Saccharomyces cerevisiae S288C: one gene and its partner. Each later gene encodes a partner of the first gene's protein in a complex. Each region holds a gene or a part of one and is shown in the gene's direction. Other genes may lie near its edges.

The links.
Region 2: the proteins of SEC4 (region 1) and SEC2 are in contact, whole or in part, in a crystal structure (PDB 2EQB), measured with the Saccharomyces cerevisiae proteins. Residues at the interface, in NP_116650.1 of Saccharomyces cerevisiae: Lys22 (codon at 2,298), Lys44 (codon at 2,364), Phe45 (codon at 2,367), Asn46 (codon at 2,370), Pro47 (codon at 2,373), Phe49 (codon at 2,379), Ile53 (codon at 2,391), Ile55 (codon at 2,397), Asp56 (codon at 2,400), Phe57 (codon at 2,403), Trp74 (codon at 2,454), Thr84 (codon at 2,484), Ile85 (codon at 2,487), Ala88 (codon at 2,496), Tyr89 (codon at 2,499), Arg91 (codon at 2,505), Gly92 (codon at 2,508); in NP_014127.1 of Saccharomyces cerevisiae: Asp95 (codon at 1,921), Asn98 (codon at 1,930), Lys99 (codon at 1,933), Val101 (codon at 1,939), Glu102 (codon at 1,942), Asp103 (codon at 1,945), Thr105 (codon at 1,951), Ala106 (codon at 1,954), Phe109 (codon at 1,963), Asp110 (codon at 1,966), Ala112 (codon at 1,972), Asn113 (codon at 1,975), Val116 (codon at 1,984), Ala117 (codon at 1,987), Arg120 (codon at 1,996), Lys121 (codon at 1,999), Tyr124 (codon at 2,008).

The regions. Positions count from the first base shown.
Region 1 is NC_001138.5:128,100-131,514, forward strand, and holds SEC4 (Rab family GTPase SEC4), read left to right. Parts: upstream 1-2,234; coding exon 2,235-2,882; downstream 2,883-3,415. Other genes in the region: proteasome activator BLM10, read left to right, coding at 1-1,811. UniProt on the Saccharomyces cerevisiae protein: Involved in exocytosis. Maybe by regulating the binding and fusion of secretory vesicles with the cell surface. The GTP-bound form of SEC4 may interact with an effector, thereby stimulating its activity and leading to exocytotic fusion.
Region 2 is NC_001146.8:126,022-130,722, reverse strand, and holds SEC2 (guanine nucleotide exchange factor SEC2), read left to right. Parts: upstream 1-1,638; coding exon 1,639-3,918; downstream 3,919-4,701. Other genes in the region: formin BNI1, read left to right, coding at 1-1,201; TOF1 (Tof1p), read right to left, coding at 4,124-4,701. UniProt on the Saccharomyces cerevisiae protein: Guanine nucleotide exchange factor for SEC4, catalyzing the dissociation of GDP from SEC4 and also potently promoting binding of GTP. Activation of SEC4 by SEC2 is needed for the directed transport of vesicles to sites of exocytosis.

The DNA.
Region 1 (3,415 bases):
CTTCGACCACAAGCTTCCCTAAAACGTTTACTGAAGAAATGAATAACTTTGATAACCCCAAGTATTTTATCGATTTGAGGGCGTATGTAGGGTGGCTATGTTGGGGAAGGCTTATGTACGTCATGTCGCCGAAAGCTTTAAAGCTCAATTTACGTGAGAATGAACTGGAAGTCCTCAAGACAGCTGGTCATCTATTGACAAGAGAATTCCTGAGAGATGTTACAATGAATTTAGTCCAAGATAATGAAACTAGGGGTGTTTTTAGTAGTGGTAACGTGTCATTTTTCTCTTTAGTAATCCTTTTGATATCATCTGGTTTCTGCGAACTGAATATGTCGGATCTCTTTGAGCTATGTGAATCCTACTATAACAAAGACGATAAGGCTTCGATGATCATGTCTGTCGAGATAGTGGCTGGCTTAGTTTGCGGGAGTAAGTTTATGTCAGTCTCTGACTTGGACAAACGTGACACTTTTATCGAAAACTTCCTAGCCAAATGTTTAGATTATGAGTTGAACCATGACGCATTTGAAATTTGGAGCACCTTGGCATGGTGGTTGCCTGCAGTCGTTGATTTAAGAAGGTCTAAAACTTTTTTTTGCCATTTTATCAACGCCGATGGCATGTTTGACCGTGAATCTGATGCAGCCACACATCAAACCTCCAAAATTTACATGCTAAGAAGTATCTTGATGAGCATGGAATTTAGAGCCCCAGATGTTGGTAAGCTATTTGATGAGTTGGTATTTGATCACCCATACGATCAGGTTCGCCAGGCTGTCGCTAAACTATTGACGACCTTAGTTCAAAATCAAAGTAATCCGTCAATTTCAGATCCAACCACATTATTAGAAGCAGAACGGAATGATCCAGATGGATTAGGGTTACCATTAAAAAGCGTCCCAGAAAAGGTGGATGCCTATATTAAGAAGCAGTTTGAGATCATTAAAAATCTGGAAGATTCCGTTGTCGGCCTGAATCCTCAACAATTTATTAAGACAGACTATTTTTACAGGACATCCACAATATTTTATTGGATCAAAGAAATGGCGAGAGGGCCTAATAAAGTTTTGTTAGTTCCATATTTAGTCGATTATGTTTTACCATTTCTGATCGGATTAGTGAAACATAAAGATGTTTGTGCTCTTGCCAGTTTAGATCCTGTTCGATTGTATGCCGGCTTGGGCTATATGCCGATCAGAAAGAACCATGTTGCCGCCATTGTTGACTATGTTTGTTCGTCAAATGTAGCACTATCTTCAAACCAAACGAAACTACAGCTAGCTTTCATCCAACACTTTTTATCAGCGGAACTGCTTCAACTTACTGAGGAAGAAAAGAACAAAATTTTGGAATTTGTTGTCAGCAATTTGTATAACGAACAGTTTGTAGAGGTGAGAGTTCGTGCGGCATCCATTTTGTCTGATATCGTCCATAACTGGAAAGAGGAACAGCCGTTGTTGAGTTTAATCGAGAGATTTGCAAAGGGTCTCGACGTCAACAAATACACGTCGAAAGAAAGACAAAAGTTATCCAAAACGGATATCAAGATTCATGGTAACGTTTTGGGTTTGGGAGCTATTATATCAGCGTTCCCCTATGTTTTTCCCCTACCGCCATGGATACCCAAGCAACTAAGCAACTTATCCTCGTGGGCCAGGACTAGTGGTATGACTGGACAAGCTGCCAAAAATACTATTAGTGAGTTCAAGAAGGTGAGGGCCGACACTTGGAAGTTCGATAGAGCATCTTTCAATACGGAGGAACTGGAAGACCTGGAGGGTGTCCTATGGAGAAGTTACTATGCCTGATTCATATTAGTATAGGATATTAAGCACATATCTAGACATATATGTACATCTAAACAAATAGCTGGAGCTATCTGCTGATTAGTTTTACTCTAAAAGTAAGTTGTTAGTGTAACTATGATCACGGCTGCGTGCCGGGTAATAAATCAATTTTGAGGAAAACTGGAAGTTCACCACTGAGAATGATCAACGGCAGGGAAACGTTATACCAAACAAAGCATTCTACCTCTAGGGAAGCTGGAAACTTGAATTACCCACTATAGCTTGTCTTTTAGTGATCCATTATTCCAACCTATTGCAATTCCAAGAAAATAAACTAGGAACTTTTTTTTTTGGAAGAATAAGAAAAGGAGAAAAAGTAGACATACTGTATATACACGAGGGCGTATCGTTCACCAGAAAGAATATAAACATAACAAGATAAACATGTCAGGCTTGAGAACTGTTTCTGCTTCATCCGGTAATGGAAAGAGCTATGACTCTATTATGAAAATTTTATTGATTGGTGATTCTGGTGTTGGGAAATCATGTTTATTGGTTCGTTTTGTTGAAGACAAATTTAACCCGTCATTTATCACCACCATTGGTATTGATTTCAAAATAAAGACTGTCGATATCAACGGTAAGAAGGTAAAGCTGCAACTTTGGGATACCGCTGGTCAAGAACGTTTCCGGACAATCACCACAGCGTATTATCGTGGTGCTATGGGTATCATTCTTGTATATGATGTGACAGACGAGAGAACATTTACTAATATCAAGCAATGGTTTAAAACCGTTAATGAGCATGCGAACGATGAAGCACAGCTACTGTTGGTTGGTAACAAGAGCGATATGGAGACGAGAGTGGTAACAGCTGATCAAGGTGAAGCCTTGGCTAAGGAGCTGGGTATACCATTCATCGAGTCCAGTGCTAAGAACGATGACAATGTCAACGAGATTTTTTTCACCTTGGCGAAGTTAATCCAAGAAAAAATCGACAGTAACAAGCTTGTTGGCGTCGGTAACGGTAAAGAGGGCAATATTAGCATCAATAGTGGGAGCGGAAACAGTTCTAAATCAAATTGCTGTTGAAGAAAAGAAGATTTTTGCTTCTTTGAGAATTAATCGTGAACTGGAATTAGAGCTATAAATCGCTTGATTCTTTTTTCCCTTTTTCTCAATATTCGCAGGTTATTTTTCCTTTATATATATACATTGTTTGTATCTTTTTTTGATTACCATACTTACTATTTTTATATTAGTCATATTAGATGTCACTTTTATATTATCTAAACAATTCAAACTTCTCACACTAACTTTTTCAGCATACTTCTACTGTTGTTCTCTGCTCTGGAAGGTATTTTCATCAGGCGATTGGTAAAAAATCAAGAAAGAATCTAAAAAATAGTGCAACAGGAAAACGAGGTTCCCAGTTTCCCTGGGAATTCTTATCCAAGTATATATTTTACTTTTAAGATTCAGCACTTTTATTTCGTTCTAATGTTTTTACCGGTAGTAAAGTTTTGCTTCTTGAATCCACTATTCAACTACTTGCGCTTATGTAAGGTTCCTGTATGGTTGCATAATCACTCAATTCGAAAAAAAAACCCACGTGCTGCTTGGAA
Region 2 (4,701 bases), on another chromosome or scaffold:
AGCTGTTAGCGCGCTTCAAGAATCAGATAACTTGCGCAATGTCTTTAATGTTATCTTAGCAGTTGGTAATTTCATGAACGACACTTCTAAGCAGGCACAAGGTTTCAAACTTTCAACCTTGCAGAGGTTGACGTTTATCAAGGATACTACCAATAGCATGACCTTTCTAAATTACGTCGAAAAAATTGTCAGGTTAAATTATCCAAGCTTCAATGACTTTCTAAGTGAATTAGAACCTGTATTGGATGTCGTGAAAGTTTCCATTGAGCAGTTAGTTAACGACTGTAAGGACTTTAGCCAATCGATTGTAAACGTAGAGCGTTCAGTTGAAATTGGTAATTTAAGCGATTCCTCAAAGTTTCATCCATTAGATAAAGTTTTGATAAAAACATTGCCCGTGTTACCGGAAGCCAGAAAAAAGGGGGACTTGTTAGAAGACGAAGTTAAGCTGACTATCATGGAATTTGAAAGTCTGATGCATACGTACGGTGAAGATTCTGGTGATAAGTTTGCAAAAATCTCATTCTTTAAGAAATTTGCAGATTTTATAAATGAATACAAAAAAGCTCAAGCGCAAAATCTAGCCGCGGAAGAAGAAGAAAGACTTTATATAAAGCATAAGAAAATAGTGGAAGAACAGCAAAAAAGGGCACAAGAAAAGGAAAAACAAAAAGAGAACAGCAATTCGCCTTCATCTGAAGGAAATGAAGAGGATGAAGCAGAAGATAGGCGCGCTGTTATGGATAAACTATTAGAACAGTTGAAAAATGCAGGTCCTGCTAAAAGTGACCCATCTTCCGCCAGAAAGAGAGCCCTAGTGAGGAAAAAATATCTTTCTGAAAAAGACAACGCTCCACAATTACTCAACGATTTGGATACTGAAGAAGGGTCTATTCTTTATTCTCCAGAAGCTATGGACCCTACTGCCGATACAGTGATTCACGCTGAATCACCCACTCCGCTTGCCACAAGGGGTGTTATGAATACCTCTGAAGATTTACCATCGCCATCCAAGACATCTGCGCTGGAAGATCAAGAGGAAATTAGTGACAGAGCTAGAATGTTATTAAAGGAGCTAAGAGGCTCTGACACACCAGTAAAGCAAAATTCCATACTCGATGAACATCTAGAAAAATTGAGGGCCCGCAAGGAAAGATCCATAGGTGAGGCTAGCACAGGTAACAGGCTAAGTTTCAAATAAAATATTAAACCAAAAAATTATGACAACAGTAATACCAAAACAAACATCCAAACAAGCACTAGTACAAAGAAATAGTCACGAATCATTAAATCACATATATATATATAATTTTAATGTTTATAGATCACTTATGATACACTTTACATTCATCTTTACTCAAATGATCTCTACTATTGCATTTTTGAAATAATTCCTTTTATTATGTGCCATTGTTTCCATGTGACTACCCGGAACTTGTATTTCGCGTTCGCTGAAGCACCTTTAAAACATGGCTCTCGTTTACCTAAGTGACAAGCACAGTGATTCGTGCAATAATATCATTTGTCACTTGCAGCTGTAGCAACGTTGATTTCCATCCAAAAGTTGTAGAAAATTTTGACCTTTAGTTCACTGGGATATATTTTCCTTTACTAGCTGTGTTTGATAAAGGTTTCAATATGGATGCTTCTGAGGAAGCAAAAAGAGTATCAATACAGGTTACATCCCTGTCTACGCAATTGATCGAGAGCGTGGATAAACAGTCACACTTAGAAGAACAGCTTAATAAATCCTTAAAAACAATAGCCAGCCAGAAGGCAGCAATTGAAAACTATAATCAGTTGAAAGAAGATTACAACACTTTAAAAAGAGAATTGTCAGACAGAGATGACGAAGTGAAAAGATTGCGTGAAGATATAGCCAAAGAAAATGAGCTTCGAACTAAAGCTGAAGAGGAAGCGGATAAACTAAATAAAGAAGTTGAGGATCTGACTGCTTCCCTCTTTGATGAGGCTAATAATATGGTTGCTGATGCTAGAAAGGAGAAATATGCTATCGAAATCTTAAATAAGAGACTCACTGAACAACTGCGTGAAAAGGACACATTACTGGATACTTTGACCCTACAGCTCAAGAATCTGAAAAAAGTGATGCATAGTTTAGATAATGAAAGCACAGTCACAAATAATTCGAACAGATATTCCACAATATTGAGTGATTCAGCAACTTCTTCTAGCACTTCTTTGAATAAAGTTCCAACTTCATATTCTCTTGCTTCCCAAGATATTTATAGCGGAATTGTGTACTCGCCAAGCATTTCATCTATTCGTTATGATATAAGCCTTTACAATGAATTTCTAAAATTTGTCGCTGCACTACCCCGTTGTGAAAACATAAAGGCAACTTCAACCGAATCAAAGTTAATACGAAGATTGGTAAATGATGAAATCCAGCCTATACTTAAGATTGATAATGCTTCAGGCATCGGCTGGTTGGTTAAAAAAACCCTACTTTCCTTGATTATAGATGGTTTGGTGGTCGTGGAACCCCTAAGCGGCGTTAATGCAACCTACCAAATTGGCTACAACTCAAGTAGCCCTGCAAAGCAAGCCACTTCGAATATGCCAAAAATGTTCAAGTTTCCCTTAGATTCACCTCCAGTTGCAGTGCACGCCGCATGTTCCTTTTGTGGAGAATCTAGAGATGACATTATCGAACACGCAAGGATGTATATATTGAAAACGTTGCACAAGACTGACGACGGTAAAGAACAAGTTACGAATACGTATCCCTTGTGTCATTGGTGTTTGCTAAAGTTGCGGCAGACATGTGAAATCTTTGCTTTCCTGAGATCATTGAAGGTAGGCGCATGGCATTTAGAAAAGCTAACGACGCAGAACATTACCAAGGAAGATTTGGAAAAATTCTCTGAAGTAACGAAGCATACCAAAAGAGACGGCAGGGTTTCTTCTCAAGACAAAAAAACCAAACGTTTAAGTTTTATGGCAGGACTTGGTATCAATTCTTCAACAAAAAATAAGCCAAAGATGGAGATTTTTTCTTCTGAAACAAATGCAAAGCCAGGACAACCTACCACTAATATTCAAAGAGCATGGCTGCAATTGTGTAAATTGCGTTGTATACTTCATTGGACTCATATTGGCATATGGGCAGTGGATGATTCAATTTCTTCAAAAATTGGACCGTTAGTTGAGGATGACAGCGATGAGGATCAAAACGATGCTATATCGGTTCGCTTGCAGGACAAAGCTCTTTGGAAGCAGGACGCAAAAAGACCTTTTTCTTCATCTAGCGCAGAAGAAAGTCAAAAGAGCGACGCTTTTGACTTTGAAAGTGGAGATATGGAAAATGAAATTACGGGTGAATCTTCAAGTGATGAATCCTCTTCAGATGGGTCTTCCACAGATAATTCAACCGCAGATAGTTCATCAGAAGATGAATCTTCTCTAGCAGATTCTACTACAAGTAGCGCAGATTCTAGTTCACCAGAGAGTATAGACAACGGTGAAGGTGATGACACGGTAACGAAAGATGACAAAAGTAGCATTAAGTCGGCAAATAATAATGAAGAAAACAGCGATTGCGGAGATAAAAAAGGTCGTTCTATAATAAAGAAAAAGGCTCCTCAACGCAAGATACAAAAGAAGAAGTTACTCCAAGATTTGGATGATTTAGAAGAGCAATTTAGAGAAGAAAGCGCAATTGATCAGACTGAATTTGAAAACGCTGAGTCTAATGTAAAACAAAATATATCCTCGAAGAGGGCATCTTCTGGAGACGAGAACTCTAAGAAGGATAATAATGAAAAAACTTTAAAGACAAACTTGACGATAGGCGACAAAACCCAAGAACAAATAGGGGAAAATAGTCCTAGTAGCGGATTGCATGCGTCTTCAAGCAATGATGACAATTTCGATGATGCCCAGGAACAGCAATAAATTATATAATATTTAATTTTATGTGTCCTAATGGACATTTGAGTTCCTTAAGATGTTCAACAACTTAGAAAAATATAGGTAATGATAAAGAATGAATCGCATGTATTGTTTTAATATTATGTCAATACTTTGAACTTAAAAACAGAGTAAAGAAGTGGTTCTAAAATTACACGTATTAAAGGGATTAATTACTACATATTCATTCTCAATCATCACTATCACCTTGGCTCAAAACAACTCTAGACTTTTTGCCAAAAAGGCGGATGGCCTCTTCATCTTCATCGCTTTCATCGGCTGCACTCGCTTCCAAAGAACGCTTTGTAGATTCTTTTCTGCTATACACCTCAGATTGGAACATATTTTGCGAATTTGATGGCTGTGATGAGCCCAAACTATTTCTTGATTCCGAGTTGACATCGTCATCAGAGAGTTGATTATTATTGTTATTATTTACATCGAAAATAGACATTTCAGATGCCACGTGGCTTGCTAAAGAAATGAGGCTTTTATCTGGCGCAAAGGAACTACTTTCTGTAGCTCTTATGCTTTCAATACTTGGTATGGATCCACCAAACAAGCTCGTATAATCTCCTGTCACAACACCCCCATTATTCATCCTTTCCGCGGCAAATTTGGCAAACTGGATATATCTATCCTCGGTCAACTGACCATTGTTTTTATCTAGTAACCATCTCATATATGTTTCGTTTTCAAAAAATATAGGGTTCATCAAATCCTCGTCATCTTCTGAATCACTAATAAACTCTTTACTGAATACGCCAT